4 linked regions of the Saccharomyces cerevisiae S288C genome follow. The gene in region 1 interacts genetically with each later gene. Each region holds a gene or a part of one and is shown on either strand. Other genes may lie near its edges.

The links.
Region 2: mutations in CEP3 (region 1) and NAB6 together harm fitness less than expected from each alone (positive genetic interaction), as found in Saccharomyces cerevisiae (one large-scale study listed by BioGRID).
Region 3: mutations in CEP3 (region 1) and PMP1 together harm fitness more than expected from each alone (negative genetic interaction), as found in Saccharomyces cerevisiae (one large-scale study listed by BioGRID).
Region 4: mutations in CEP3 (region 1) and SEG2 together harm fitness more than expected from each alone (negative genetic interaction), as found in Saccharomyces cerevisiae (one large-scale study listed by BioGRID).

Annotation. Positions count from the first base shown.
Region 1 is NC_001145.3:596,832-604,609, forward strand, and holds CEP3 (Cep3p), read right to left. Parts: upstream 2,328-7,778; coding exon 501-2,327; downstream 1-500. Other genes in the region: mismatch repair ATPase MLH1, read left to right, coding at 1-364; aldehyde dehydrogenase (NAD(+)) ALD3, read right to left, coding at 2,521-4,041; aldehyde dehydrogenase (NAD(+)) ALD2, read right to left, coding at 4,731-6,251; EAR1 (Ear1p), read right to left, coding at 7,037-7,778. UniProt on the Saccharomyces cerevisiae protein: Acts as a component of the centromere DNA-binding protein complex CBF3, which is essential for chromosome segregation and movement of centromeres along microtubules. CBF3 is required for the recruitment of other kinetochore complexes to CEN DNA.
Region 2 is NC_001145.3:31,262-40,539, reverse strand, and holds NAB6 (Nab6p), read right to left. Parts: upstream 6,298-9,278; coding exon 2,893-6,297; downstream 1-2,892. Other genes in the region: VAN1 (Van1p), read left to right, coding at 1-353; ATR1 (borate transporter), read right to left, coding at 716-2,344; NGL3 (3'-5' poly(A) RNA exonuclease), read right to left, coding at 6,689-8,206; YML119W (uncharacterized protein), read right to left, coding at 8,856-9,278. UniProt on the Saccharomyces cerevisiae protein: RNA-binding protein that associates with mRNAs encoding cell wall proteins.
Region 3 is NC_001135.5:162,368-168,131, forward strand, and holds PMP1 (proteolipid ATPase), read right to left. Parts: upstream 701-5,764; coding exon 578-700; downstream 1-577. Other genes in the region: YCR024C-B (uncharacterized protein), read right to left, coding at 232-498; YCR025C (uncharacterized protein), read right to left, coding at 1,079-1,489; nucleotide diphosphatase/phosphodiesterase NPP1, read right to left, coding at 1,744-3,972; putative GTPase RHB1, read right to left, coding at 5,003-5,632.
Region 4 is NC_001143.9:236,380-245,611, reverse strand, and holds SEG2 (Seg2p), read left to right. Parts: upstream 1-3,028; coding exon 3,029-6,427; downstream 6,428-9,232. Other genes in the region: YKL104W-A (uncharacterized protein), read right to left, coding at 326-580; glutamine--fructose-6-phosphate transaminase (isomerizing) GFA1, read left to right, coding at 239-2,392; aspartate transaminase AAT1, read right to left, coding at 6,721-8,076; YKL106C-A (uncharacterized protein), read left to right, coding at 8,346-8,465; YKL107W (putative short-chain dehydrogenase/reductase), read right to left, coding at 8,542-9,232. UniProt on the Saccharomyces cerevisiae protein: Likely plays only a minor role in eisosome assembly.

The sequences.
Region 1 (7,778 bases):
AAAATCTCTACCACTACTTTTAAAAGGCTACATTCCATCTCTGGTCAAGTTACCATTTTTTATATATCGCCTGGGTAAAGAAGTTGATTGGGAGGATGAACAAGAGTGTCTAGATGGTATTTTAAGAGAGATTGCATTACTCTATATACCTGATATGGTTCCGAAAGTCGATACATCTGATGCATCGTTGTCAGAAGACGAAAAAGCCCAGTTTATAAATAGAAAGGAACACATATCCTCATTACTAGAACACGTTCTCTTCCCTTGTATCAAACGAAGGTTCCTGGCCCCTAGACACATTCTCAAGGATGTCGTGGAAATAGCCAACCTTCCAGATCTATACAAAGTTTTTGAGAGGTGTTAACTTTAAAACGTTTTGGCTGTAATACCAAAGTTTTTTGTTTATTTCCTGAGTGTGATTGTGTTTCATTTGAAAGTGTATGCCCTTTCCTTTAACGATTCATCCGCGAGATTTCAAAGGATATGAAATATGGTTGCAGTTAGGAAAGTATGTCAGAAATGTTATATTCGGATTGAAACTCTTCTACAATAGTTCTGAAGTCACTTGGTTCCGTATTGTTTTCGTCCTCTTCCTCAAGCAACGATTCTTGTCTAAGCTTATTCAACGGTACCAAAGACCCGAGTCCTTTTATGAGAGAAAACATTTCATCATTTTTCAACTCAATTATCTTAATATCATTTTGTAGTATTTTGAAAACAGGATGGTAAAACGAATCACCTGAATCTAGAAGCTGTACCTTGTCCCATAAAAGTTTTAATTTACTGAGCCTTTCGGTCAAGTAAACTAGTTTATCTAGTTTTGAACCGAATATTGTGGGCAGATTTGCAGTAAGTTCAGTTAGATCTACTAAAAGTTGTTTGACAGCAGCCGATTCCACAAAAATTTGGTAAAAGGAGATGAAAGAGACCACGCGCGTAATGGTTTGCATCACCATCGGATGTCTGTTGAAAAACTCACTTTTTGCATGGAAGTTATTAACAATAAGACTAATGATTACCTTAGAATAATGTATAACCTTTAGTAGTGAATCTGCGGTATCATAATAAATGAGATACATCTTAAACAATTTCCAGGAAACAGTAGATATTTGAAAAAGTGCAATAAATTTTTGAAATCTGCTGTTATTTGATCTAAAATCTTCTTCCAACGAATCTACTTTGTATTGAAAAATATCGAGCTCCCTCCTTATAGCATCCAATGTTTTTAAGGGAGGTTTAGAACTCTTGTTCAAGTATTGATCTAAATCTCTGTCTAATGAGATGATTTTCCAATACAAGACCTCTGTGCTGTTTTCTTCCCTGTAAACATCAACGTTAGGCAAATCCTGCAAATATGCTGCATGTTGTAATAGGGAGGATACTTCTGTATGAAGTGCAATTGGTTTGCGTGGCCCCGATTGAAGATAATCGCATCCACACAGGCGATAGAATATTCTTCCCAAGGTTACTTTAGCGATGCTTTCAACGGGGTCATCATTAAGTAAAGGTCTAAAGTCATCCACATGAAAATTTTTAAAGGTATGGATGCACTGTGTTAGGAGCGAATTTGCCAACAACGGTTCATCGTAGGGGAAAGTTGTAGTGGCTAAAATCAGATATGCTTGAACGAGCCTTATATCGGGATGCGCCATGAAATCACATTGTTTCAATTGGAATAATGAGCAGCGTGCAAAATTTTGGCACATGACTAATTGCATACCATCTTCCCAATTGAGCCTTTTGTTGCTACCCAAATATTCATGGAGAGGATATACTGAAAATATTTCTGCTAACTTCTCGACTGGCATATAATAAATGCACATGGTAAAGACAGACCATATTAGTGCGTCCCAGTATTTGCCGTCTACACTGTGATTCTTGTCTGCCCTTCTATCCCAGTACTGTTCCACCCTCAAATATAATTCACTGATATCTCCAATGGAACCAAAATACAAAGCACCTAAGTTTTCCATAGCAAAGTTCATCAATTGGAATGATTGGTCTTTTTGAAGATAATTCATCCAAAACATACATTCTTCAGTATCAGTATCCAAATTAGCTGGTGTTCTAGTAAGATCTCTTTGTTTTGTTTTGTACAGCCCAATATTCGTTATCCAATATTCATAATTTTGCCAGAATAACAATAGGTCAGGGAGATATTCCTTGGAAGATGAAGCCGTTATTAGTTTTGTTGATTTCATACATTCGGAGTCCTGTCCTCTCTTCCTGCAGTTTCCACACGGTATCATACGATCACATTTGACTTTTCGCCTCGTACACACGGAACAGGGATGCTTGGATTTCAGTTGAGTGGTACGGTTAAACATTATTATTAGGATGCAAACTCGTGTTCGTAACTTTTGTCATCACCTGCTCTCTGAAGGTTGGTTATAATATTTCATTCTCTTACGCTTAGCTTACATGGCTGCGCGCACTTCATTTAAAGCCGTAAAAAATAAAGATTTCATAGAATATGAAGCTTTGAATCTCATGTAAACATTTATATAACTATGTAACGAATTATTTATCCAATGAAAGATCCACATGGACTGATTTTATTTGTAAATAGTTATCAACGCCGGTGTCGCCTGATTCTCTACCAATACCACTCATCTTAAATCCGCCAAAAGGAACTTTAGCTTCTTCTTGATTGGTTTGATTGATCCAAACAGTTCCTGCTTTAATATCGCGAGCAAACATGTGCGCTTTCTTGACATCTTTGGTGAAGACCGCAGAGGCGAGCCCGTAGCAAGTATCATTAGCCAGCTTCAGAGCGTCATCATAATTTGTGAACTTGCTAACAACCACAACCGGGCCAAATATTTCATCACGCAGCAACTTAGATGTTTCTGGTACATCAGTGAAGATGGTTGGGGGAATGAAGTAGCCTTTAGCTCCACCAATAGGAAATTCAGAGGTCTGGAACATGTCCAACTTTTCCTCCTTTTTACCACGTTCTATGTAACTTTTGATGCGGTCATACTGTGTACTTGATATAACTGGACCAACGATGCATTTCTCATCAAACGGATCAAATTTTCCTGCAACATCCCACTCCTTCTTTGCAGTTTCTTTAAACTTTTCAACAAACTTGTCGTAGATCGAACTTTGAACATAAACTCTTGAGTTTGCAGTGCAGATCTGTCCCGAATTAAAAAAAATACCATTTGCTACCCATTCTATAGCCTTATCAAGGTCTGCATCTTCAAATACAAGAGCAGGAGACTTACCACCGCATTCTAGTGTGATATCCTTAAGGTTCGATTGGCCGGAAGCTTCCAATACTGAGCCGCCAACCTTAGTACTTCCCGTAAAAGATATTTTGTCGATATCCATGTGGGTTCCTAAAGCTTTCCCCACAACGGAACCATAACCAGGAATGACATTGACAACACCAGGTGGAAAACCTGCTTTTTTAATTAAAGTAGCAAAATAAAGTAGAGATAGAGAGGTATTTTCAGCAGGTTTGATGATAACCGTGTTACCGGCCGCTAAGGCACCTTGCATTTTTCTACAAGCCATAGCTAGAGGATAATTCCATGGAACGATTTGAGCAACAACGCCAAAAGGAACTTTTAGAGTATATGCAAACTTGTTAAAAGTCAATGGAATGGTTTCACCCATATTGAACTTGTCGACCGCCCCCGCATAGTATCTTGTAAGTTCTATAATCTGGGCTAAGTCTTGTTTAGCATTGGAATGGAAAGGCTTACCAGCGTCTAAAGTCTCTAATGCGGCAAGTGTGTCTTGCTCCTCCTCAATAAGTTTTAATAAGTTTGAAAGATAAATACCACGTTGCTCAGAAGATGTCTTCGACCAAACGTTATCAAAAGCAGCCCTGGCAGCTTTCACAGCTTTGTCTACATCCTTTTCGTTAGCTGCTTGGAAGGATGTTATCGGTTCGCCAGTAGCTGGGTTCACAGTTTCGATGGTCTTTCCATCTGATGATGGACAAAACTCATTGTTGATAAACAACCCTAGCGGTTGCTTTAAAGAGATTTTCAATTGTGGGATTTCGATATCAGTATACAAGGTAGGCATTTTTCTTTTGGCTAATTTTCTAAATGTGTATAATCTATATCTCTATGATACAAGTCCAAGGTATAATTACCTGGCATGAGTCAAATTTATTCCCATCCAGATTTGCCATTTTATACAATTAGTTTCTGAGGTATGATCAGTTAAATCTACGCTATTCGTTTGAACAATCTCCCTGTCTCCTCCCTAAACTTACTAATTCCTTAACCCTTAGGGAGTTTAGCAATCAGCTTAAGAAGGGGGCTGATCAACAATCCGGTTCAAGTCTTGGATTAGCAGTAATGAAAATCCCTAAATGCACTAAAGGGCGTGGAAGAAAGGTACTGTAGAGTTCTAATAGTGATACTTTCCTTGTACTCCAGGGGGGGAAGGAAGAACAGACGTCATATGCAGAAAAAGAAAAAAAAAAGACGGAAGATCTACGTAATGGTGGGAATAGAGAAAACTAACACGCAAGTATAATTTCTTGACACAAAAATAAATCTCACTGAGTTTATAGCTCTATTTTTTTACCATCTTAAGGGATTTCTAGGACCTAGTAACAACAATTGTTCCGCATGCTGAAATAATGGTGCTTACAGTTTTATATCGAGTAGTGGACTACTACTGTTTGCTAGACTGTCAACATATTCATCCGTCGTCAGGCTAAGCTATTTAGGTACTTACGCACTTACATAATGATAACTATCACATTAGTTGTCCAAAGAGAGATTTATGTGAACTGCTTTTGTTTGAAGATAGGTATCAACACCACTTTGCCCCAGTTCTCTACCAATACCACTCATTTTAAACCCGCCAAAAGGAACGGTAACATCTTCATCGTTAGATGAGTTGATCCAAACAGTTCCTGCTTTAATATCGCGAGCAAACATGTGCGCTTTCTTGACATCTTTTGTGAAGACCGCAGAGGCGAGCCCGTAGCAAGTATCATTAGCCAGCTTCAGAGCGTCATCATAATTTGTGAACTTGCTAACAACCACAACCGGGCCAAATATCTCATCCTGTAACAGTTTCGATGTTTGCGGGACATCAGTGAAGATGGTTGGGGGAATGAAGTAGCCTTTAGCTCCACCAATAGGAAATTCAGAGGTCTGGAACATGTCCAACTTTTCCTCCCTTTTACCACGTTCTATGTAACTTTTGATGCGGTCATACTGTGTACTTGATATAACTGGACCAACGATGCATTTCTCATCAAACGGATCAAATTTTCCTGCAACATCCCACTCCTTCTTTGCAGTTTCTTTAAACTTTTCAACAAACTTGTCGTAGATCGAACTTTGAACATAAACTCTTGAGTTTGCGGTACAATTCTGTCCTGAATTGTAGAAAATGCCAGCTGCTATCCAATCGATAGCCTTATCAAGGTCTGCATCTTCAAATACGAGAGCAGGAGACTTACCACCGCATTCTAGTGTAACGTCTTTAAGGTTCGATTGGCCGGAAGCTTCCAACACAAATCCACCGACCTTGGTGCTTCCCGTAAAAGATATTTTGTCGATATCCATGTGAGATGCTAGGGCTTGGCCTACAAGTGATCCATAACCAGGAACGATATTGACAACACCAGGTGGAAAACCTGCTTTTTTAATTAAAGTAGCAAAATAAAGTAGAGATAGAGAGGTATTCTCAGCAGGTTTGATGATAACCGTGTTACCGGCTGCTAAGGCACCTTGCAATTTCCAACAAGCCATAGCTAGAGGATAATTCCATGGAACGATTTGAGCAACAACGCCAAAAGGAACTTTTAGAGTATATGCAAACTTGTTAAAAGTCAATGGTATGGTTGCACCTTTGTCAAACTTATCAGCGGACCCAGCAAAATATCTGGTAAGCTGTAAAATTTGTGCCAAATCACCTTTGGCATTTGAATGGTAAGGCTTTCCAGCGTCTAAAGTCTCTAATGCGGCAAGTGTGTCTTGCTCCTCCTCAATAAGTTTTAATAAGTTTGAAAGATAAATACCACGTTGCTCAGAAGATGTCTTCGACCAAACGTTATCAAAAGCAGCCCTGGCAGCTTTCACAGCTTTGTCTACATCCTTTTCGTTAGCTGCTTGGAAGGATGTTATCGGTTCGCCAGTAGCTGGGTTCACAGTTTCGATGGTCTTTCCATCTGATGATGGACAAAACTCATTGTTGATAAACAACCCTAGCGGTTGCTTTAAAGAGATTTTCAATTGTGGGATTTCGATATCAGTATACAAGGTAGGCATTTTTCTTTTGGCTTATTTTCACGATTGTTTTTGATGGACATGCAATGTAAAAATGATAGGAATGGGCCAAAAGTATTTTTAAGGATTCGCTCCCTTTATATGAACATTCTTGAGCAAAATTCGGGATATGATCAGTGAGTGTCGACAAGATTGCATCCCTAATGTTTAAACGAGTTAAAAAAACTCATCATTGGATAGGAGTAACCAATAAAGGGTATATGATTGCTATTATTAGTATCCAAAAGCCGCCGGGAACATCATAGGGCGTTAGCAAGTAAACGCATGGCACGATAATGGCAACCTTGTTTCTTCTGGCGGCAAAAGATAAGGCAATGCAAAATAAAAAACGAGAAAAAAAAAATGATAGAAGGGAAAGATAAGCAAATTTTCTTTCGAGCTGGAACGCTTCATTTTAATCTCACGCATTTGCAACCCATGCTGATGTCTGAAGCGCTGACAAATACTTCATACGTTCTTCTTGTGACACATTAAGAGGTAGCACGGAGGTGCAAGTAAAGATGGCAAAAGTACGGAAAGTAAGAAGGAAGTTTGCGGGTCAACCAGTTGCCCTTACTAGTGTACGTAAACATATGTATATATGTATGTAAATATCTATATGCTGCACTGCGATATCGAGTAGGTGATAGCGTTGAAACCCTCAATAAGGAAGAAAACGTTATAAATTGCAATGTTTTTAAAAAATGGTGGCTCTGCGTAATACAGCGCAAAAAAAGATAACTGACCGGGGCTAGTGTTTCAGCCTTACTATCTCATGCATTTTCGTATTATATGCCATGCATCCTGCTTTCGTAATCATCAAATTCTGAAAATTGTTCGGGATCTCTCTCGTGATCATTTTCATCTTCGTTATCATTATCAACACTATCGAAAGATGCTTCATCAGTAATTAAATTTCTGCTCGTTCCAATAATTCGTCCGCTTATTGCTGATTTATCATTTTTCGAATGATGTTCATCGTCCGAGTAACTTGGTGGTAGCATAGGTAAGGAATCTAGATTAATTTCCTCATTGATGATCTTCTTTCCAGTGGGAGGGGACATAGTGAATTCAAATCCAGGTGGTGGCGGTAATATTTCACCGTTTCTTATAATTATATCATCATTGAGATTTGTAGTACTACCAGCCGCAATATTGTCGCTATCACCGTCTGAAAAATCTTCGTCGAAATCATTGTCTTCACCACCGCTTTCTAATAGGGTATCTTTACCGTAGTCTTCGTAAGAAGGAGGAGGTAATTTAATGCCGTTTGACTTTGCGTATCCCCATTTTTTAACGTTTGCTTCTATATAAACAAAGCCATAAGTGCCGAAATTCACATGAATTTGACAAGGTACGTTGGAGCCAATGATCGGGTATAGGTATTGGAATTTCCAGCCGCGGATATGACCACCAACAGATTTTTCATTTAGTTTTTTTCCGTTCCTGGTGAAAAATACTGTTCCACTACGTGACCTATAGCCAATGCCAACAATGTCTCCCTTTTCACACTGTGGAAATAACGTTCTT
Region 2 (9,278 bases), 560 kb from region 1:
TTGACGAAGATGATGTTATTGTAGAAGGCTATGCAGAATATCCTACGTGGAGAGTTCACTTAGCCTATATCAGAGATGCAGAAGGTGATCCAAATGAAGCGGTGGACTTGGACGGTGTAGGGGGAGTTTCTATTTTGGCGAAGGCCAAAATATTTAGAAACGGGGTACAGTTTCCTGCATTTACTTTTGAAAATCATGCAGAAACAGAAGCATTTGGTAAAATGGCAAAGAAAATGGGGTACAGGGTTGGTGGTTTACCGCATTATACTATTTGGCATATTTATGAACCGAGCGATGACGATTTGAAGGAAATTGCGTCAAGGGAAAGAGAGAAGAGAAGACAATCAGAGTAAGAATCATGATGACATTTAATATTAATTTAATTTAATTTAATTTTTTGTTTTGTTTTATTTCGTTTTGTTTTTTTGTTCGGTATTGATTTTTCTTCTTTTAATCCTCTTCAATGGATTGAAAAATATATATTATGTAGAGTAAATAAAAGACCTCTTAAGGATAAGGGGTAACCTGGGATCTGGTTACAGTTCAAGGCTTCGTTATTAGGGAGCGAACAATAAAGATTAAAGGGTACTAAAAATTGTACTATTACTAGTTGCATGTTGAGATATGAAGACTTTCAGTGTCTAAATGCCCCATGTCTATATAATCGCATGACAGCGGTGTATTTCTATCTATTTACCTTAATAACCGCTTTCCGCTAAGCCACAGTGCAATCGTATTCTGCAGCAGCTCTTGCCCTGCGGCCTTTTATGAAGCTTTCGACCATGTAAAGCCCGCTAATCATGCATGCTAAACTTGCCAATCCTATCCCAAGGTACTGAGCACCTCTATAGCCTTTCAAAAGATGCTTTCCGTCTGAATTGACCTGTGTCTCTACTGTGGCACCCATACCGAGACACAAGGACATGGAGTAATTGACAACAGTATTCACCAATGACCCAGCCATGCCTTGGTACTCCATCGGTAAATTATCACTAAAGATAATGGAAGAAGCAGGAAATGAAAGATCCATCCCAAAACTTAAAATTATCATCGTTCCTAACTGAGTACGAAAGTATGTCTCGTGAACCGGTGTAACACTTGCCATTATTGAGCCCACATTGAATGCTACCATAGAAAAGAACAAAAACACTGATGGAGACACATTCTTGATAGTAAATCCTACCAGTAAGGCGGCAATAATACCCCAAATTAAAAACATAAAGTAAGTTCCACCAGCCCATAATGCCGTGTACTGCCTTATATTTAATTGAAATTGGAAATAATAAAACGTAAAGATGCCAAAAGAGCCCCATCCAAAGAATAAAGCCAGCATAATTTGAATCATATGACGATCCTTTATAACTGCGCGCGGCAATAGTGGAGTCTTGGCAAATCGAATCTCATAAATGATGAAAACGACAAGAAAAATCACAGAAATGATTAAAATTACGATGATGTAAGCCTGGTTCCAACCCGATATAGGAGCTTGGTTCCACACAAAATTTAATAAAATGAGACCTATCACGCCCAAAACAGAACCAATCCAATCCATAGAAAAATGATGAATATTTGTTGGTATAGTACTCGGAATGGCATATATGGAGAGCACAAAATTAATGAAAGCGGCTATGCTATACGCGTAGAATGCCCATGGCCATTGTTTTGGGTCCTCGGTACCGATCAGTCCTGCAAAAAGACAACCTAAAGTTGCTCCAATAGGGGCCATCGCACCAACAAAACTAATCACGATGTTTTTACGAAAAGTACCACCTACATATATATTACCAATTATTCCCAGCACATTAGGTAAAACAAATGCAATCCCTAGCCCTTGGAAGGCTCTACTAATAATAAAAAAAGTATCGCTACCAGAATACTTGGTAATCCCACAAATCAAAGACCATATAATAACCAGAACATATCCTACTAACAACATTTTTTTTAATCCGTATATGTCACCTAGTCTGCCACTAATCAAAATAAATGAGCCTGAAACTAGCGGAAAAGATGCCATCAGCCATGACTTTGAGTTTCCTTCTGAGCCAAAACTGTCCGAAAGAATATTCATGATCGAAAGAGTCTGTGTAGTGCCTGCTTGATTTAGAAGCTGACTTATCATGCATGTGAATATAAAAAGATATTCTTGCCATGCATATTTAAAATAGTTTGGGTTCTGCCATTTCTGATTGCTATCTACCATTTCATCTTCAGACTGCGTAAAAGCTGTTGCTGTTAAAGATTCTCCGATATTATTATCTCGTGACGATTTTTTAACAGGTAGTTCTGTCTCATTCTCATACTCACCCTTACTTTCCGTAAGCACAACTAATGACTGATTGCCCATTATTATTACCTGTTTGAGATTCTCTAATTGCCTCTCTTTTTACAATCGTACACTTTGAAAATGTTGTTTTAAACTTAGAATATGCATTTTATTCATTTTATAAAAACGTCTCATTCTTCAGACGTTTATAAACAACTGTAATAGTGTCAACTTTTATATAAAGGTCATCTTACCTGAAAAGTGTAAGTTCTGAAGGTAGAGAAGAGGTCAAGGCAGACAGGATCCTGCGGCTTGACGTCGTCGCTAACGAAACGAAGTAGAAAAAAATTAACAGGTTTGAGTCAGAGAAAATTATCGTTCCACATTGGTGACTCGGTCATTAAGACAACAAGTGCCGGCAATAAATCGCTTACGTAATCTGTGGCAGAATGAACAGGTTAGGTGCATAATACCGCCATTCCATTAGTAATCACTATATTATTTAGTTTATACAAAGAAATCGGAGAAAAAAAGGGAGAAACACCTTGGCAGGCCGCCTTAGGCTTCCTTGGGCTTTGTCTAAATAGTCCGATGGATATGCATTATACTTCAGGCTCAGCACAGCTATACTACTCGTCAGGATGCGTGTTGTCTTCCGCAGAGGCGCCCAAAATATTGGCTGCATACATAAATGTCGAATGTTGCACTTGTGCAAGGTATTGGGCCATGACGTCAGATCCTGGTATCGTTCTATGCCTTGCAAAAGATCCTCTCTTCTTCTTTCTGTTATTTGCTGTTTCGCCATTTGTGAAAATATCTTGCATTGGCGTTTCGTTGTTCTTCGAGTGATTATATGACAAAGTTGAGGGAGCTCTTGGAGGAGCTTGTCTTAATGACGACCTATAATTGAGCTGTGACATTCCTACGGCTTCTTCCTCGTCTTCTATCTTTACTGGTCTCTTACTATTAATGACGGTCTGACTCGAGCTTCTTAGAGTTTGTGATTTTAAAGCGTATTCAGGATCGCTCGGGGAGTGCATAATGACCTCGACGTCTGATGACGAGTCGGAAGATCCCGATGACTTGTTAAATATATCTTCATAATCAGTTTCATCCGATGTCGCACGTTTGACGTCAGAGCTCGCCACAGCGAGACCCAGTCCACCGAAACTTCCAGTCTCATTACCGTTTTCATTTTCAGCCTCTAGTTCACTTTCATTTTCATGCCCAGTATTATTTGCAGTTCCTGTTTCACCACCGCCGTTGTCCTTATGTGCGTCCAGACTAATTCCTAGGGATTCCAAGTTCAAGGGTTTATCAAAAGCCTTTTCCTTTTCATCGATTTCATTCTGCCTCCTCTTTTCTTCCAACTTACTCAAACGTATATTATAGCTCGGTCTTTTAACTTTCTTATAGAATCTTGAATTTTTACCTGCTATCAAATTTTTGTTTATATTGCCACAACGATCTTTGCCGTAGTTTATCAGAAGGCCCTTATAACGGCCACCGAATTTTTCCTCAGTCGCCCTTTTAAGCGTCACTTCACCGGATTCATTTTGTACTGTGGATTCCTTATTCATTTCTTCAACAAGACTAATCGCAGAAGATATATTCATGAAATTTATCCAACAGCAATGGCTATCACTCAAATAGTTAATCTGCTCAATATCACCATAGGTACTAAAGTCCTCTCTTAGTTGTTCCGCATCTGGTAAAGATAGTGTTTCATGCAATTTTTTGTACTGAGGGTCGTGAATAAACTTTTCCTTAAATGCAAACTCTGGTAGGCTTACGTAGACATTCCTACTTGCCCCGATCGTAACAGCCAACGAGATTAATTTCGGTAATGGACCAGAATAATGCCCCCATCCAACTCTCAACATATTCCCATGTAACACTATTGGATCAATAAATGAATTTGCATAGAACTGTACAGCGGATGGAGCTTCGATGAAAGTAACAAAGCATATCTTCTTCTCCGGTATGTACTTAATGCTCTGAAGGATTCCTCCACGCACGACATTACAGATATCCTCCGCCTTTGATCTTGGATTAATGTTTCCTATATAAATTGTTCTATTGCCTATGTCTGAACCCATGGATGATGCCACTTTGGCCGAAACGTTGAAATTTTGCTCCAAACTTTGAGTTATTGGATTCGGCAACACCCTTTGATTCATTTGCAAATTGGGGGATACCGGAGAAGGTGTGGCTATTAACTGTTGAGGTATTATCGCTCCATTGGACTGATTAGAATCATTCATAAACATATGTTCATTTAATGGCAAAGGTGATGGGATATCTTGAGAAAATTGCCTAGAGTTTTCTGTTGTCTTTGAAATTTTGACATTGCTCAAGTGAGTAGAGTGTTCTTCAATAGTTGGTGTTTGATAGTCGCGATAGTTGATTTCTAAATAAGTCCCATCAAGTTCTACCCCTTGAAGTTTCGTCGCAAGCATATCAATCTCTTCATTTAAAGATACAGATGATGACAGACTGGTTAAACTCATATTAGAGTGACCGTATACGGAAACACCAATACTACTATTATTATTGAGTGTGGTGATACCACTCATATTACTTTTATTATTGTTTCCGTTGTTGTTGCTATCGTTATTGTTCCCAGCAGTAACAGAAGGCACCGATAAACGATGTGTGCTCGTTTTACCCTCGTAAATATTAGCAACCGAAGATCTGGCTGAGCTAACTACCAACGGGGCTAGGGATACGTAAAAACATTTAGAAATGCCTAAGTTTTTGGAGTATTTTTTCAAATAATCGAGAACTTCAATAGCCATAGAGATATTCAAAAAGGTTAAAACGGCGTAATTTTCAGGAAATTGATTGGAAGGTACATCTGTGTTCACTAAATCGATAGATTCCAAAATGTATCTTTTGTTTTTTGACCTGTCCAAAAATTGTAATTTCTTTTTGAATAAATCGCTTTTCTCCACGGGGCTTTTGAATTCAATTATAATCGACCTTGTAGCATCTTTGTTCGCTATATTATGATGCAGCGAAGCACTGATCATTGTTGAACCATTGGTAATGTCGGCTTCTTCAGCGTTTTCTGTTAACGCTTCACTCTCAATAAAGGTAGGGAGGCATTTGGGATCATAGTTTAGACAAACAAATTTCAGATTTAGTGCTTCAGATTTCAAAAATGTTTTGAATTCAGATAACCTTTGTAAAATGTTATTGTAAAAGTTCAAACAGTCGCCTTTGGTTAGAAAGCTTATTAGAATGGATAGATTTTTAGTCTCTACATCTTTTGAATCATCGCTCTTCCCTCCTTCAATTAAGTAGGCACTTTCCAGAGTATTGGATTTGACAAAATTTTTGACTATAGAGTGTAAATCAATAGAATGATCCACATTTTCAATAAGCAGCGACCTAGTTCTATAAGCATCATCACCAGTCGGTAGAACCTTGTAATTAATACAAAAGGGTCTTTGTAAAAGCATTTCTGGAAGTATGTCGTCGAAAATGTTATTCCTTGCGAATGTTCTTCTTCCACTGTTGTTCCGGGTGTCGCACCCCTTATTGTTGTTGTGAGTAACATTCCTCGTACTGTTGTTGTTCCTCGAGAAAGAATTTCTCCCCATTCTATAATAGTTCGAGGGTGTTACCATTCCGTTATTAGTATTGTTTTGGTTACTGTTACTGTTTCCGTTGTAACCGTTATGATTAGAAACGGGCCTCGAATAAGCCTTTCTTTTGAGATTAGATGATCTTGCAGAATTATAGCCACTTTGCATGTTAGGCGAGGAAACAAATGGAGATCCCATCAATAGGTGAGATGGAAAAAGACTGGCACCGTATGCAGTATCAAAAGGTGTTGGTGGAATATTAGGTAATGGTGAGTTGGTGTAATATGCTGGGTGTTGAGAAGGACCATATTGGCCGGCACCGTTTACGAAATCAACAGGATGATACATCATTGGATTTCCCACCATGGCGTTCATCCCATTATAATCTTGCTGTTGACGGTATGCGTAATTCGCAACAGGTTTTTTTGAATTGGAATTTGACATATTGGAATCCTCAAAAAAAACAATAGAAAACGGATTCTTGCGAGTCTTGTTCGAGCCGATCAAAAACCCCTTCCTTGATAATATAAACGAACGACGTGAATGAGCCAACTACACCTCTTCAGTCTTTGGGATATCTTCTCTGGATGCTTTTCACGTAACCTGAAACAAGGAAAAAGGGCAGGTTTGTTGTGGTGTTTCTATGCTTGATTTTATTTTTTTTTTTTTAGCCCGTTGAGGCGCAACGAAAGGGGAAGGGTGACCAAAAATAGCACGTAAAAGCTGTGAATAAGGTGAAAGTGACGCTAAATTGAAAGAAAAATCCCAGTGACCATCGAAGCGTTGATTACTGTCTTTCAAACACAAATGTAGGTTGTTTATATATATTGTTTCTTTATTTTAAGCTATGCACTTTCTCCCCCCCAAAAAACAAGCGTATTTGGCACATTAGGGAAATGTGATCACTAGCATATTCTCCCTCGAAAGGTTGGGAGTGTTTGGGCATTTCTTGTGCGCACGGCATCCTCAGATATCCGATTATTTTTACGTTGTTATTTCCTTCAAAAGCATTCAGAGGCTCTTTCTGACGCGTGTCCTGATTATGATCACCCTCGATATAAAATATGTAGTCTAATAATCCACACCATGTATTGGCCCAGTTTGAGAGTCCCGGTTCGCCGTGGCTTCCGTTAGCATTTTCAGGATGCACTTTACCGTAGCCAATCCCATACAAAGATACGCCTTTCACATGTAGTGAATTATGCAACGCAACTAATTGATTTACCAGAGCCTTTTCTTCCTTTGTGGCTGTAAAGCTCTCTGGTTTTGGGTTTTGTGGTTGATCTGAATGGCCTTCGCCCCTAGACTTTTCATCACACTCTTCATCATCCTGGTCACTTTCTTCTCCATTCCTTTTTTTTGAATACCGATACGCTAGTGAGCATTCCACCATAGCTCTTATTGGGCCTTTTAATATCAGTGGTCTTTTCGTTATGGCCAAGTACGGTGGCTCTTCAGGTTCGGTATTGAAATCACCCATCAGTAGGCTATGCCAGCCATTATATTTGGAACATGCTTTAATTTCCTGGATCTTTTGTAAAACCAAGTAAGATTGCCTTAATCTTTCAAATACCCCAAAGGGATGCCAAAATAGGTGTGTATTTGCGACGATAATTCCTCTTGATGATGAATCTGTTATACCCTTGAAATATAGCGATATAATAAGGGCAATATTTTTAGTTCTTGTTCTTGCTGAAATGACATTTCCCGCCAATATATTATCGTAGTCCAGCATCCAATCATTATCTAACTGGAATTTTTTATTGTTCCATGCAACTAGTAGTCCATGAGTTTTCCCTTCATGCCTTTTGAAAATCACATCAAACCCTAACTTATGGAAATTCTCCTGCCAGAAGTTGAGTTCATTGTAATCGACCTCCTGCAACGATACTACATCAGGCCTGTACTTTTTCAATTCGTGGACCAAAACTTTTGATCTCTTATGCCACTTTAACGCTGGTCCACTTTCTGGGAAAAAATCTCTCCTAATCAAGGTTTGTGCTAGAGTATTATAGGTCATTATTTTAACGTCCAATGAATCTTGGGTGACTTGTATGGTCGCTGGCGTAAGACCTTTCGAATTATCATGGTTGATAGGGAGGAATGGTCTTTCAATGAATTGTAAGTCAGGCGTTGGGAAGTCAGGGTCCTTCCCTTGGGATATTAGAGAGTTCCTACGTACCTGTCTCTTCTGAGCACGTTCTTCTCTGATTTTCTTGATTTGATCCACACTTAATTGGTCTCTGTGTATTTTTTGATGTGCTGGGCCATCTTCACTAGGTGAAACGAGGCCTGAGGTGGAGGAGGACTCCTTCTGTGAGGGGGATATTTTGCCTTCTACTTGGCTATCCATATTGAAATTAATGTAGGAGACAAAACAAAAGAAAAAACTGTTTAATGCTGTAAATATTAAATTTTCAGTGAGCTAACTCCACGATAGTAAGTAGTCTGCTTCAACCATGTGTTAGTTTGGTATAACTATTGTGATTGAATATTGGTATTATAGGTCATCCTTTTTTTCTGTGCAACGAAGGGGTGGCTGAGCATTTTATATATAATGTCGGGAGAGGAATGCAGGACTTTTAACATATCAAATGAATAGTATCTGAGTTGTTCACATATTTGGTACGTATATTATTTATTATTCTGCAACTTGTTTACTGCATGATAATATTGAAATAAAGTGAAGAGAAGACGGCACAGAGAAATTACAATGGCGCAAACGTAAGGCAAAAATGGCACAACGAATTCTGAATTCGATTGCTGGATCACTTTTCAAAGATATTGTGTTCGGTTGTGACAAAGGCATCATTAAAATAATTATATGTCTTTTGTCATAAATTTAGATCGTTAATAGGCTTTTTTTTGTATTTTTAATTCACATGTTAAATGTTTCGTTTTGGCAACTAATAATAAACTACATTAAGTAAAATGCAAAACTTCAAAGTGCGGAAAAATGTATTGGTATATAAATACTATAGACAGAATACAGAGAATCCGTATCATTTCAAAGGTTCATTACTTAGTATCTCCGCAGGGAGGATTCTGTTGTTCGCACTTCTCTGCTGAAAGCTATCCTCCTCCTCATCTTCCTCATCTTCATCTGAAATGGCGATGCTAAAAGAATCTACCATTCGAAATATATCAGATCTATCCATTGCCTTTCCATCAAAACTCAATTCAAAGCTTTCGTTGGCATTTGTGGAAACACTGGCCCCGGCTCTCTGCTTCGCATTGGAATTAGGGAGATTCTTTACGGGCTTGCTGTTACCTTGCAGCTGCTTTTGTTGCCGTAACGTTGATGTCAGCTGCACTCCGCATAATTCGTCTAGTGATTTTGAGATCCGTGTCTTACTATTTGTGGACAATTGAATAGGTTGCAAGAAGTGATAGTTTTTCTCAAACTTCAACGAAATTAGCAGGAT
Region 3 (5,764 bases), on another chromosome or scaffold:
AAGTTGTGCATACTCATACTCCACACTCGACGGCCTAATCTCTGTAAGGATTGTATTTTATTTTTTATTTATTTATTATTTAGATTTTCTAAAAATAAAAAAAAATCATACACTATTTTGATTACACTACTATGTAATTTATCTTTGAAAACAACCATGAAAAACTCAATTTTACACACACATGAGTTATCATGAGGAGTCATCAGCCAGACTTAACAATCACACACATTGTTAAGAGTGGAAAAAAATAATAGTGATAAAAGGAAAAAAGCTAACAATTTGGATTTTACGGGATCTGTCTAAATACGAAACACACACTCGTTTTAGTTCAAATATCATAACCATAAAAAAAAAAGCACAATTCAACTTGAGCACGCACACTAAGTAGTAACAACGTTCATTTACAGTAAAGCGAACGGACGAAACAAATAAAAGAAAGGCATAGTGAGGGATAAAAGGTAGAAAGAATTCAAAAAAGGGTATCGCACACACACACATAGTAGTCTAATTCATGTTCTAGAATGGATATAAACAAAGATGAAGGGGACAGGAAATAAAATGGCTCGCTCCGCCCTTTTTAGAATCTTTGCAATCCTCTTTGTCTAGCTTGCCATTTTCTGTAGATAATGGTAGCAATAATGGCAATACAAGCCAAACCGACCAAAATGAAAACTAAAATAACACCACCTGGTAAAGTCATTTATGATAGATTAAAAGTGCTGAAATGGGAAGAGGAGAAACAAACAAAGGATATGTAGGAACAAAAGTTTGCTTGAGTGACTAGTTTGAAGTTGAGAAAAAAAAAGAGATGAAAAAGTTAACTTATTTGCTCTTCCTTCAAAGTGTGTAGCGTCTTCCTTTAAATACTATTGAAAGGGAAAAAGAATAAATGGAAAAAGGGTAGTAATGAAAAACTCTAAAGGAAGATAAGACGCAATAAGAGAAAAAAAGGGAAGTTAAGATTACAAGAGAAACAATAAATTGCTTTCAAAGCTTTATATACTGGCAAGCACGGAAGGCTAAATTTGAAAAAAAAAAATGGGAAATTATTATCGGAAAAAATTGAAGCTATCTTCTATTACGCAGTGACAAGTCTATATTGACATCTTTCTGCTTTCTGCTTTCTGTTTGTTGTTTTTTTTCTCATAGTTGTTTTGATTTTACTCTGTTGGAAATGCGAAAATTGTTTTGATTTTACCCGATTGCGACCTATTCCCGGCTTTCCCAAAAAAGGAATTCCTGTCCAATGCAACGACAGCCATAGAAACAGCCGCGGTTGGGTGCGTGGGTGCGGTAATTTAACGATCATATGGTATGGGTGCACGTGGGATTCTAGGGGAAGTGCGCGCGGATACCGAATCGGCCATCGAACCGGCCACCCGGATTGAGTTTGGTATGTTGCCTCTTTGCGCAATTTTATTGAATGCAAAGTTTCTCCTTCTAGTAAAGGACAACAGCTGAAAAATGCTCGATGTCCAAATGACGACATAAACCTCCTCGTTTAGGAAAGAGTTAACACGCCTAGTTTCAGCTTGTTTCTTTTTATTGTGTAATTAGTTTTCTTACTTAGTACATCTTATTGACCCCACTGTCATCGGATGTGAGAGAGTGGTTCACTTCTGAATTAAGTTTAGAGATATACTAAATCTAAATAAAAGTCTCTTTCTGCGTGCATATGTTTTCTTGCGCGGGACTCACAAGGATGCGTCTTTTATTTCATAACGCGGTTGTCCCACCTTAAGCTTAGGTATCAGAATCGACTAAATCGTCGATGCTGTCAATTATGTCGTCAATGAGATCTTTTGCGTCGTTGATTATGTCTTGAAGCCAATCCCCCACTGTGCTAGCAGTAGCGCTAGCTTGTATGCTGCTGCTGCTGCTGCTTCTTGATGATGGTGATGTTTCGCCCAGTAGAGTCTCAGTTGCTGATGGTATTGAAGTTGTCATTTCTAGTTTTATCGTTAATGACGAAGATGGCATAGCGGCTATTTCATCAGTGTTTCCATCGTCGTTGTCATCATTATCATTGTCAACATTGTCTTGTTCTGTCTCTTCGGGGTACCCGCCCCAAATTATATTATAAGTGCTGAATTCACCAAACTTACTGACCAAATAATCAAAGTCATCTTCAATCTCTACTTCTTCGCTGCTCTGGGGTTCGCGGAGTTGGTTCATAAGCATCCCAGTCCCATCATTGGAATTTCTGTCCTTTTCTGCCACACCGCAAATATCACACAAAAGGTTGTAAATTTCGGTATTTTGGAACGGCTCAATGTATCCCTGTGGAAAATATGGCCCCATACCAATAAATACAGATCTCATATCGATCGCGTTATTGTCGTATCCATGTGATCCAATCGTGAACACATTGTCTTCGTTTTTGTCCTTATGATCACCTTTTGCCACCTTCTTCAATTGTTCTTTCTTCATCACTGCATACCCAGGCTCGGGCACAATCCAGATTGACGCCATGTGATGATTTTTTCCATCATTAAAGTTCCATTCTTTGGGGAAATTTCCATTAACGTAAACCGTATACTTGTCTTCATCTATAGAAGTCTTTAAATTGTGGTAAACCTCATTGATGTTTCCGGAATCTTTCAACGATATAGCCATCATCGGACCCTCTAGATATGCGTGCGATACATAATCCTTCCTCAATTTTTCGTCCAGTAAGTCTTCCCATATAATAACATTTGAGGGAACTACGATATCGCTCATACCATGATCGCTAACAATGACCAAATTAGTAAAGCTGGTTAAATTTCTTTCTTGCAGCGATTCCACTAGTTGCTTCAGAAATGTATCTACTTCCCCCAGTGTTTCAGTGAAGTCTTCATAATAGTATTCCGACTCTGACGGATATCCATGCTTATGTCCAAAGGCATCTACGTTCGGTACATAACCGAGAATTAGCTGTGGTCTTTCGTTCAGTGTACTCATATCCACATATTCAATAATCTTGGATAATTTTTGCGAAAGTGGTTCTTTAGCATTGAATTCGTCGAAGTAAAATGGAGTTCTCTCTCTAGCAATAGGATTTTTATGTTCAGGTTGTAGTTTCTCTTCATTATACTTGGTATAATTCACATCGCTACCTGGCCACATATGGGTAGCAGCTTTGAATGGTATATCACCGTCAAATGCAGACTGAACAGTTTGCCATATTGGTTCTGTATCATTATTGTTCCATATTCGAGGGTCCAATACACCTGGATGGAATTCCTCATTAAGATCAGGATCCCAAAATACGTTAGAGACTATACCGTGGTGTATTGGGTATTGTCCAGTAACCAACGTCCAATGGTTGGGAAAGGTCTCCGTAGGGAAGCTGGGTACCATAAAAGGTGTGGACGTGATATTCATACCTCCATCATATTTCAATTCATATAAGTCATGTAAAAACGGTGTGTTCCTCTTAGATATGAGTGAAGGATGGAAACCGTCTAGTGAAATTACTATCGTTAAGGGGAAAAATTCATGCGTACCGTTAAAATACTTCACGTAAGGGTCAAATTCAGGACTGCCAAAGTGCGATAGCACTCTCGTGGAGTGATGGGGTTTTGCTATGTTAATCATCAGAATTAAAAAAATGGCAAACACCAGCGAGCCAAACAATGTGCGAAATATTATTTTAAAAGGCACTTTGGAATGAAATCCCGTTCCAAAAGAAAGTTCATTCTCATCAACAAGTTCAGTATCAATGGGTTGACCATTCGCGTCTAATTCATATAGCGGTATACCCCTTCTAAAGTTAGAACCATCCCTACTATCTTTCGCGTCGCCAATCACTATGGGATTGTTTGTCCACTTCAGTCTATTCTTATAAAACCAATATTTCATCCTGGTCCACGCAGATCGCCACCCCGATCTTACAGCATCTTCATCCGTTATGAAATCATCACGAAATGGATCTTCACTAAAATCATTCAGCTCGTTATCGAGCGACTCTAAATCATTCTGAAGTTCCATCTATAGAGAGTGTTATACTGTACCTCTTTTCAGATATATGTAATTACCTCGCCTCACTTATTTTGCTTATTTGTGGTTTGTTAGGCAGTTTGCATATCGTACCAATGTTTTTTTATAACTTCATGTCTTTTCTTTTTTTTCATTTTTAGCATCGTACGCAGATATCTTGTCTCGTTATGATATTTTGTGAGATAGGTATCCAAAATTAATAAGAGAAAATGTCGTATTGTGTTCACAATTCACCTGATTGTTTGACTAGTCCAACCCCTGGTATAATTGTCACTTAATATATTCTTAGCTTCCAGGTGATGTTTTATTCCATTATTTATGTTATGTATATATAATCGTAACTCTTAGAGCAAAAAGTAAAAAAAAAGGTGGTACTTACCGAGGGAGAATATATACAAATTTATTCGTAAATGTAAATAATTAATTGAAGCAGAGCTAAAAGAAAAATACAAGAAAATTTATTTACACTCGCTGTTTGGTTCTGATCTTTTGGTATTCACAATTTTAGTGCTGTCCAAAAATATTGCGATGTGCTGATAAAGTACATAGTGTGATCCGACTTCGTCCCAGTCAAAGAAAGGATGAAATATTAGTTAGTACATTTACTGGTTGCTACTGGATGTCCTATCTGAATCTTCCATCTTAGGTACAAAAAGATTAAGAAAGTCAATTGTCCTTAGTTTTAAAAGACAGTTACTTCATGTCTTTAACATCAACGGCAAATTACTTTGAAAAAATGCACTAAAAGTTAACACATGTAGGAGCATTCTAAACATGAAATTTTTAATGGTACTTAGGTTTGCTAACGCATCTTGAAAACTAGCAAAAACCCCATAATTAAAATATTCTTGCTTGTTAAACGAGGCGTCCAAGCCATTGAAAGGTTTTATCAATATTCAACCTCTTACTATAAATGCAGCACACCGTAACAGGTATGAGAAAGATGTGGTATTATTATACAAATTGTACTGACCGCTTTCCTACTAATAAAACCAATGATATCCTAGGGACGCTCGAGTTTTCACATTATAGAACATTTATTATTATTTTCGGCATCAAGCCCCAGAGTTCCTTCGACACGTTCCATTTGTTTCAAAAGGAGCATAAAAGTTTCTTCAACATTATAATCTAACTCGGCACTGCATTCTATAAATGCTGCCTGGTTCCTCTTATCTTGACTGCCAATTGTCGAAGCTAGTTTCTCTCCTTCAGCTTTCGTGACACACCTTTTTACACCTTTTGTACTCCTTCCCAAATCAGCTTTGGTACCCACAAGTATTACCGGGAGGTTATCCTTACCCAGCTGATCTACCAGCTTGTCCCAGAGAATGGGAATAAGATCAAAGCTAGCACGATTTATTATACTATAGCACAGTATTATGCCTCGTACGCCCGTCAACGATTTAATGTTTAATAGAGAAACTTCATCTTGGCCTGCAGTATCTAGAATTTCCAGAGTACAGTCATGACTTTTATAAGGAATTATCCTGGTAAATTCATTTTCAATAGTGGGATAATAGGATTCAACGAACCGCGATTCTACGAAGCGAACCGTTAATGTGGTTTTGCCGACATTTCTAGCTCCTATAAGAGCAATCTTTCTCTGAAAGTTATGTGTGGAGTTCGAAGAAGACATAGTGGCGTATTCCATTATGTCACAGGTTATATCTTTTCTCGCCGTGCCCCAATAAAACTGTTTCGGTAAAGAGACAATTCGAACCAGCCCAAAAGAATGAATATGAAAATATCAATATGCGTCAATGAAAATGGAGGCAAGTTCAAT
Region 4 (9,232 bases), on another chromosome or scaffold:
TTTGGAACACGTACTTCTTTTCGCTTACAAGAAAGCATTCTCAGTCATCCATCACACTTATTTTCACTGCAAAGTTACAGAACCGGTGTCCTTTCCAACATCATAGTTATATAGTTGAGAAAAAGTGGACAAAAAGCCAGCATAAACAAGGAATAACTGTATTTCTTTTCTTATATAGTTATCAGGGCCAAATAAGCAATAAGTTCTCGAGCAAATCAACAGCAACTTTTATAAAAAAATGTGTGGTATCTTTGGTTACTGCAATTATCTAGTGGAAAGATCCAGAGGAGAAATTATCGACACCTTAGTGGATGGTTTACAAAGATTAGAATATAGAGGCTATGATTCCACCGGTATTGCTATCGATGGTGACGAAGCTGATTCTACTTTCATCTATAAGCAAATCGGTAAAGTGAGTGCTTTGAAAGAGGAGATTACTAAGCAAAATCCGAACAGAGACGTTACTTTTGTCTCTCATTGTGGTATTGCGCATACTAGATGGGCTACTCACGGTCGACCAGAACAAGTTAACTGTCACCCTCAAAGATCTGACCCAGAAGACCAATTTGTGGTCGTTCATAATGGTATCATCACAAATTTTAGAGAACTGAAGACTCTTTTAATTAACAAAGGTTATAAATTCGAAAGTGATACCGATACCGAGTGTATTGCTAAACTATATTTGCATTTATACAATACAAATTTACAAAATGGGCATGACTTAGATTTCCACGAATTAACCAAGCTAGTTCTTTTAGAACTAGAAGGTTCATACGGGTTATTATGTAAATCTTGTCACTATCCTAATGAGGTTATCGCCACTAGAAAAGGGTCCCCTTTACTGATTGGTGTCAAATCTGAAAAAAAACTAAAAGTCGACTTCGTGGATGTGGAATTTCCCGAAGAAAACGCTGGTCAACCGGAAATTCCATTGAAATCTAACAACAAATCATTTGGCTTGGGCCCAAAGAAAGCTCGTGAATTTGAAGCTGGTTCCCAAAATGCCAATTTACTACCAATTGCCGCCAATGAATTTAACTTGAGACATTCTCAATCCAGGGCTTTCCTATCAGAAGATGGATCTCCAACACCGGTGGAATTTTTTGTTTCTTCGGATGCGGCATCTGTTGTTAAACATACCAAGAAGGTGCTATTTTTAGAAGATGACGATTTGGCTCATATTTACGATGGTGAGTTACATATTCATAGATCTAGAAGAGAAGTAGGCGCATCAATGACAAGGTCCATTCAAACTTTAGAGATGGAGTTAGCTCAGATCATGAAGGGCCCTTACGACCATTTTATGCAAAAGGAAATCTATGAGCAACCAGAATCTACTTTCAATACTATGAGAGGTAGAATCGACTATGAAAATAATAAAGTGATATTGGGTGGTTTAAAGGCATGGTTACCAGTTGTCAGAAGAGCACGGAGACTGATCATGATCGCATGCGGTACTTCTTATCATTCATGTTTGGCTACTCGTGCTATCTTCGAAGAATTATCAGATATCCCAGTTAGTGTGGAATTAGCGTCTGACTTTCTGGACAGAAAATGCCCTGTCTTCAGAGACGATGTATGCGTGTTTGTTTCACAAAGTGGTGAAACTGCGGATACCATGCTGGCTCTAAATTATTGTTTAGAAAGAGGAGCCTTAACTGTCGGAATTGTTAACAGTGTTGGTTCTTCTATCTCTCGTGTCACCCACTGTGGTGTTCATATTAACGCTGGTCCTGAAATTGGTGTTGCCTCTACAAAAGCTTATACTTCCCAGTATATTGCCTTAGTGATGTTTGCTCTATCGCTGTCAGATGACCGTGTATCGAAAATAGACAGAAGAATTGAAATCATTCAAGGCTTGAAGTTAATCCCGGGCCAAATTAAGCAGGTATTAAAGCTGGAACCAAGAATAAAAAAGCTCTGTGCGACTGAATTAAAGGATCAAAAATCTCTATTGTTATTGGGTAGAGGTTACCAATTTGCTGCTGCTCTGGAAGGTGCTTTGAAGATCAAAGAAATTTCTTATATGCATTCTGAAGGTGTTTTGGCAGGTGAGTTGAAGCACGGTGTCTTGGCCTTGGTGGACGAAAACTTGCCAATCATTGCTTTTGGTACCAGAGACTCTCTATTCCCTAAAGTAGTTTCCTCTATTGAGCAAGTTACTGCAAGAAAGGGCCATCCAATTATTATTTGTAACGAAAATGATGAAGTGTGGGCGCAAAAATCTAAATCAATCGACCTGCAAACCTTAGAAGTTCCACAAACTGTTGATTGTTTACAAGGTCTAATTAATATTATTCCATTACAACTAATGTCATATTGGTTGGCTGTTAATAAAGGGATTGATGTTGATTTTCCAAGAAACTTGGCTAAATCTGTTACCGTCGAATAAATTAACCCTTTTACTTTCTCTTCGTCCCCCAGCCTCCCATCCGTCTTTCTACTATCACTTCTCCTTCGCTTTTAATTTTTGAACTTCCATTATTCTGCAATGCGCACTACAAGCTGGCGTTAAAGATGATTCCACTTGTATTCTCTATATAAATAAAAAATTATATTTTATATGAATAACCAAAAAGATAGTTGCAGCCCTAAATTAGACCTGCTAAATAAATGTGTTCTAACTTTGTTACAATTTTTAAACCATATAACTTCCTTCTTGTAAGTCCTCTAAAATAATATTAAACCCTATCCTGAGTTGGGCCCTGCGTTTTACCCGCAGGAATAGGCCCGATGATTGATTATCCACATCAACTTTTGGTGAAATTCGAGAGAAAATAAATGGGAAGTGAACGAGCAATAGGCAATCAACAAAAAAAAAAAAGGGTTAGGAAATTCGCTATTGTAAAGAGGCAATTTTTAAAATTTAGAGTGAAAATCGCCATTCCATCTTCTTCATATTCTTCGTTCAAATTACACAATTATTGCGGGAGGAAATAGCATTTATTAACCCTAATAATCAACATAAGGCAGATAGCTCTGAAAGAGGCAAGTATCAACAAATAGTGGGAGCATTGGAAATAGCGGGATGATCCAAGAAAGTAGTCCAGATGCCTTAGCAGCAGCAGCAGCAATTGGAAATGCGCTCAGTTATAATGGGAGGACCGTTGACAAGAGTAAAATACCGCAATACAATCAGAGTTTTACCTCTCGAACTACGTCAATCGCAGGGATTAATAGGTATACAATGCTCTCGAATTCTAGGACTAACTCAAGGATGCTCTTAATGAATGGTAACGTTCGCCAATACTCTAAGCGCACGTCGAGTTTGCCAAACCAAGGACATAAGAATACCTCTAATAATTCGGCGGGGAGAAGGCAACACAGGGCTCACGAGGATGCAGAAACCACGTTTCGAGAATTTGGAGGCAAGCAGTCATCGAAGGTTTTAAACATTTCAAGTTCGACTGGTCAGAATAGTAAATCAAGGACCACATCACTTGGGAACTCAGGCAGCACAATAAGGACGATAAAAAAATACATACCAGGCCCTAGGGGGTTAATGGCTGTGGAAGTACCCGTGGAAGTAGAGCCTCCTAGATACAGTCTGAGCAACCGCTCAAACCAACGAGGTGGTAGAGCATATTCTTTGCCTACTCGAAACAACAAAACTAGTCTAATGCATAGGAATAAAACTACTAAGAAAGCAGGATCACAAGAGAAAAAAAGTGAAAGCGGCGGTAAATCAAAAAACGATTATCATGGCAAAGTATTATCTAAAATGCATACTACATCATTAAAGCAACGGCATAACAATGTTCCATTAATACCAACAACTATGAACGAGGAAACGGAACAAGAACTGCAAGAGGATCTTCATGATCCTTTAGAATTTAAACCCATGATTATATCCGATGACGAAAACTCTTTTATTGAACCCAGCGTTCTCGATCGTAGCATACCCAAAAAAGATAAAAGTGGTCTCAGTGGACGTGAGAAAAAGGAAGAAATTGAAACATTGCTTAAAGAGGTTCATAGCTTGGAGGAAAAAATATCAAATATCGAAATAGCAAAATTGAACGAAGAAGAAAGGGAACAAAGCTTAATTTTGGAATTGCGAAAAGTTAAGCTAGATGAAGAACGGAGAATGGAGTTATTGAAAAGAGAGCTAAATATAGTTAAGGAGAATGCCGACCTTGAAGCCCAAGAATTAAAACTAATTGAAAGCAAAAGAAAACAACACTTTCACAAAGGACAGGAAGTAGCATCCGAGGTCAAATCGATCACGATTCGTCAACCTACTTTATCAGAACCTAAGCCTGCCTATGTACCTCCGGAAGACGTGGAGAAAGAGCCATCAACTCTCTCCAATCAAACTCAGAATATTGAAAATGCAGAGAATATCGATTCTGTTGATGCCGAAGGAAATTTAGTAGATCCTATTCTTCTCGGCTCTTTAAACAATTCTAACTTCCACATGAATTCAGATAACGAAGTGAGGTGCATTGCAGATTCAAACAGTCTCACTGGCAGCGAATTATCCGATTATAATTATATAGAAGGCTCGGCAACTGATCTTCGCGCTACTGCAAAGACAAGTGTGGAGTCTGAAATAGGCGGAAATCAGGTTGGACTAAAAATTCCGCAAGATGATGATAGTGAAAAACAGGAAGAACGTACAAAGGGAAAAAAGTCAGGCCTCGTCGATACAAATTGCTTTTTAGTCCAAAAAGAAGATCAAGAAGAGGCGCTTTCCGATAATGAACCGGAAAGTTCTGAAAAATTCCCTAGCACTTCTGGGATCGAGAACGTTAAACTGGAGGATGAGACTGGTAGTGTTATGGACAAAAATAATGGACCCAACAATGACAAGGACGATGATGATGACAAAGACAATGATAATGACGATGATGATGACAAGGACGATGATGTTAACGATGATGACAAGGATGAAAATGTTGACGATGATGAAAATGTTGACGATGATGATGACGATGATGATGACGATGATGATGAATATCATGATTCTTATGACGTGATAATGAGAGATCCGGTTCAAATAGAACAAGATATATCTGACGTGCCTTCATTAAAACACCCTTCAGAATATTCTACCGAGACAGAAGATAATAAAAAGAAGGAACAAAATTCTGAAAATGCAGAAGTTAGTCAGTCCGGAACAAACATGGCCAAGTATTTACGTGGTGCTAATCCTTACCTCACTAACACAAGTTCAGACACTTTCAGCCTAGATTCCGAAAACGTGAACTCCAAGTCCTCCACGGATACCACAAGAGTTGCACCTGACCTTTTGAAAAGCTCACTACAACCACAACTTAGATCTGATTTGAAACAATCAGCCGTTCCATCAAGTACTTCCTCGTCCATTTATTCGATAGAAACGTCTCCAAATATTGATTCCTCTACAGGGAAAACTGCTTCCAATACGAAAACGAACAGCCATGGCCCTCCGACGAGTATTTCAAAACAGAAATACGATCAATCTAGTTCTCATCAAATACCCGTGATGTCTCCCAAGCGTCTCGACGATAAAAGAAAAATCACCAATCGTTCGTGCCTAAGAACTCTACGTGGTAGTTCAAATGAGGCTACTCTTTCGCATAATATAGTATATCCAGCTTCTGACTCATCTTCATCCCCTCCATATCATAGCAAGAAGCCATCAAATCCTCCATCATCTGGCAACTTGGCTTCACACGAGGCGTCCAAGTGTTTTCCAAAAGCTCCTCAGGCGAGCACAACATCGAGACGATTGCCTGATCATGTCCCTCTATACATTGATAAAAATAATAGTGCACTCTACCCCAAAGAACCCCCCGCCAGGAAGTCTAGTTTTGAGAAGGAAAGACCTGCGAAGGATAACCTAGGATTTAGAAGCATGTCTTTGAGAGAGCCACTTATCACAAAGAATGCTACAGCCACAGCAGCAGAGAACCTGGATGTGGAAGAAAAGAAGGAAAAAGGAGGTCATGTCTCAAGAAAATCATGGACTTTTGGTTTGCCCTCTCCGCTGAAAAGGAGAACAAGTCATTCTACTCATACCACGAACGAAACAGAGATAGTTAATCCCATGACGAACTTCAAAAATAAGACCAACGAAAACGATATGCCAATATTAGCAAATAAAAAGAGCTGCAACAACGATGATTCTTCCCCTTACACTGCATCATCCATGAACACTAATGACGTAAGCGAAGCTGGTACAGAAGGCCACCGGTTTTCATTATTCGGAAATAAAAGCCAATTGTCAAATAGGAACATATCTGGTGGAACAGCCACTTTGGAGTCATCAAATCCTGACCTGCCTACAGCCTTACCATTAAGCGTTCCGGTGACTATCATTGATAAAAATGGAGAGATACACAAGCTTCATAACGATGATGCAGCTATAAAAGATAAGTCGCATGACCGTCACGGTCACAGTAAATTCGGTAGGAAACTGAAAAAAATTTTTGGCAGGAAATGATTTGAAAGAAGAAAACATAGGAAACCTAAAATGAAATGTAAGGATATGATGCACTGCCACCGTAATTAAAATAGTTGGCTAGCGCTAGCTTTCTTTTCATTTAAAATTTAATAACTAGTTCGATCACGAATTAATCCAATCTAGTTATCTGAAAAGTGTATATAGAGTAGATAAAAAAAAGGTTTATTAATTATTACAAAAAATTATTATATTCTATAAATTATTGTGTGGCAAAATGAGAAGGGAAAAGTAATAAAAAAATAAAGACAAAGGTGAACTGTAAGGTGAAAAAATTATGCGAGTTTGTCCATTTTCGAGACTGCTTCAAGAGATTCACATAAGTAATCAACGTTCGAATCATTGACTCCGCTAAGCGACAATCTACCATCACCTGTTAAATAGACGAAGTAATTGTTTCTCAATATTTCGACTTGCTTTGGACTAAACCTTGTATAGTAAAACATACCGTGCTGTTGTGCGAAATTTACAAGATCCGGCCACCCTAGACGGTCAAACATCTCCTGTCTGACGTGATGCAATCTCTGAACCATGAAATCAACATCCTTGAACCATTGCTGTTTCAATTTGAAATCTGATAATACTACATTTACCACACGAGAACCGTATCCTGGTGGAGAAGAATACATACCTCTGACAATCTTTTTTAATTGGGAGTCAATATTTTGCTGCAATGAGTTTTTCTGTTGTAGAGGGTTGAACTTTCCATTGTTCGCAGTTGCCGGCGTGATAACGCTTAAGGAACCAACTCGTTCACCATAAAGGCCCATGTTCTTGGCAAAAGATTGACAAAGAAAGATACCGTTACTCCAATTTGGATATTTATTTACATTGAGACATAGCCTCAATAAATATGCGTCCTTTAGTAAGTTACCAGACTCTAAACCCTGATAAGCCATATCAACAATGGGTACCATTTTTAGCTCATATATAGTATCTATAATCTTTTCCCATTGCTCTTTAGTTGGGTCGAGACCTGTAGGGTTGTGACAACACGCATGCAAGATTATGCAAGGTGGGTTCTTATTGTTTTCTTGCTGGTTGTTATATGCAAAGGTTTTCAATTGCTCAATCCATCCGTCGATGTCTATCTGACCGTCCTTATAATAGGAATACCGGTAAATATTTTCAAAACCATTGTTCTGAAAAATGTTCTTATGATTTGCCCATGATGGGTCAGGTATCCAAATATCTCTTGAAATAAATAATGCCAAGAATTTAGCTGCTACAGCTAGGGCGCCTGTACCACTCAAAGTCTGAACAAAGCTGATTCTATCATGGGCTAAATAAAATGGCCCAAACTGCGGACATGATTCCTTGAACAAAAATTTCATAACGTTTTCCTGAAATTCTTTGGAACCTGTTATTGGTAAATATGAAAGATTCTTATTCAACTCTAAATGAGATTCAATCAATTTTTGAGCTTTTGCAACGGAGGGAAACGTCGTCACTTTGCCCCAACCATCTTTATATATTCCTACGGTCAGGTCAATTTTGTTAACATTTTTTACCTTTTTGAAGTGTTCAGATAACCCCAAGACTTTATCTGGAGGTGCTCTTGGTACTCTACTAAGCGATGACGTGTAGTAGGGCCTCCATAGACTGCAATTAGTAAGCCTCGTCCTCAACATCAAGTCTTTCGGCAGTGAAAAACGGATAGTAATTTTCAAATGAGAAGGGAAAACGCACTCAATAGTATGCTATCGTTCAATCCGCTATCGTCTATTCTGTATTTTTTTTTTCTTTTCAATTGCGACGGTTAGCAATTAGATAACCAAGACAGAGAGAGCGAATACTTGCTAGCAATTTATATACGTAAGCGAAAAATGTAAAAAAAAATATGAAAAATGCGGCATCCTAAATATTGGAGCAAAGCAGAATAGTGCTTCCATACTCCAAGATGCCATTTCCGTCGATATTACATCTGACAATAGGAAGATATGCGAGCTATGACTCCAACAATCACATGAGACGGCGTGCAAAACTCATGGAAGCCATCTTCCGCATCCGAACAATATGAATCATCGACGATGGTCGCATGCAAACGCCCTTTAAAAAGTGAAATATTTAAATATAAACCAATTAGTTACAGCAAGTCATTCGTTACTGGAAGTGAAAGGACTTTGATTACGCAAGGCCTTTTCAACTAGAAGTTCCGAATTTTCCATAAACTTCTCAACAACATCTTTGGTCAAACCAGGCGAAGGTAAAATAGCATCGCCTTTGTTGCTGAACATTGTACCACTGCGTGATTCGATAGCGGGGCTCGCAATCAGGGTGCATATTGTTTTCGCATACGTCTCTGCGCTTTGACAGGTCCAGCTGATTATCCATTCTGTAATGCGGCTGAGGTAGGTGTCACTGCCAAGAAGATTATTACGAATGTTCGTTTTGATCAGCCCAGGGTTCAAACCGAAAGTATCTATATTCGTGTATCTGTCTTTAGCGTCTATGACCAGACTTTCATTGGCTGCCACAGTGTTCATATGTGTAGCGTAGGCACTATACTTCTTTTCATCAGAATTCAAGTCATCTGGGTCTCCCACCTGACCATTTCCTGGAAACCCTGCTATGAAAACTTTTGGCAAATCGTCTTTTTTTGTCCTACTAATTCCTAATCGCTTCGCCACATCATGGAAGATAATGTATCTACTCAAATAGCTCACTGCCATGTCTTTTTCCAAACCCTCACTTGTAGCTTGTCTCTGGCGTGATGCAAAAATACCCGTAGTGAAAATCAGATGTGTTAACTCCTCGTAGGGAATTTCATCACTATGAGATATACGC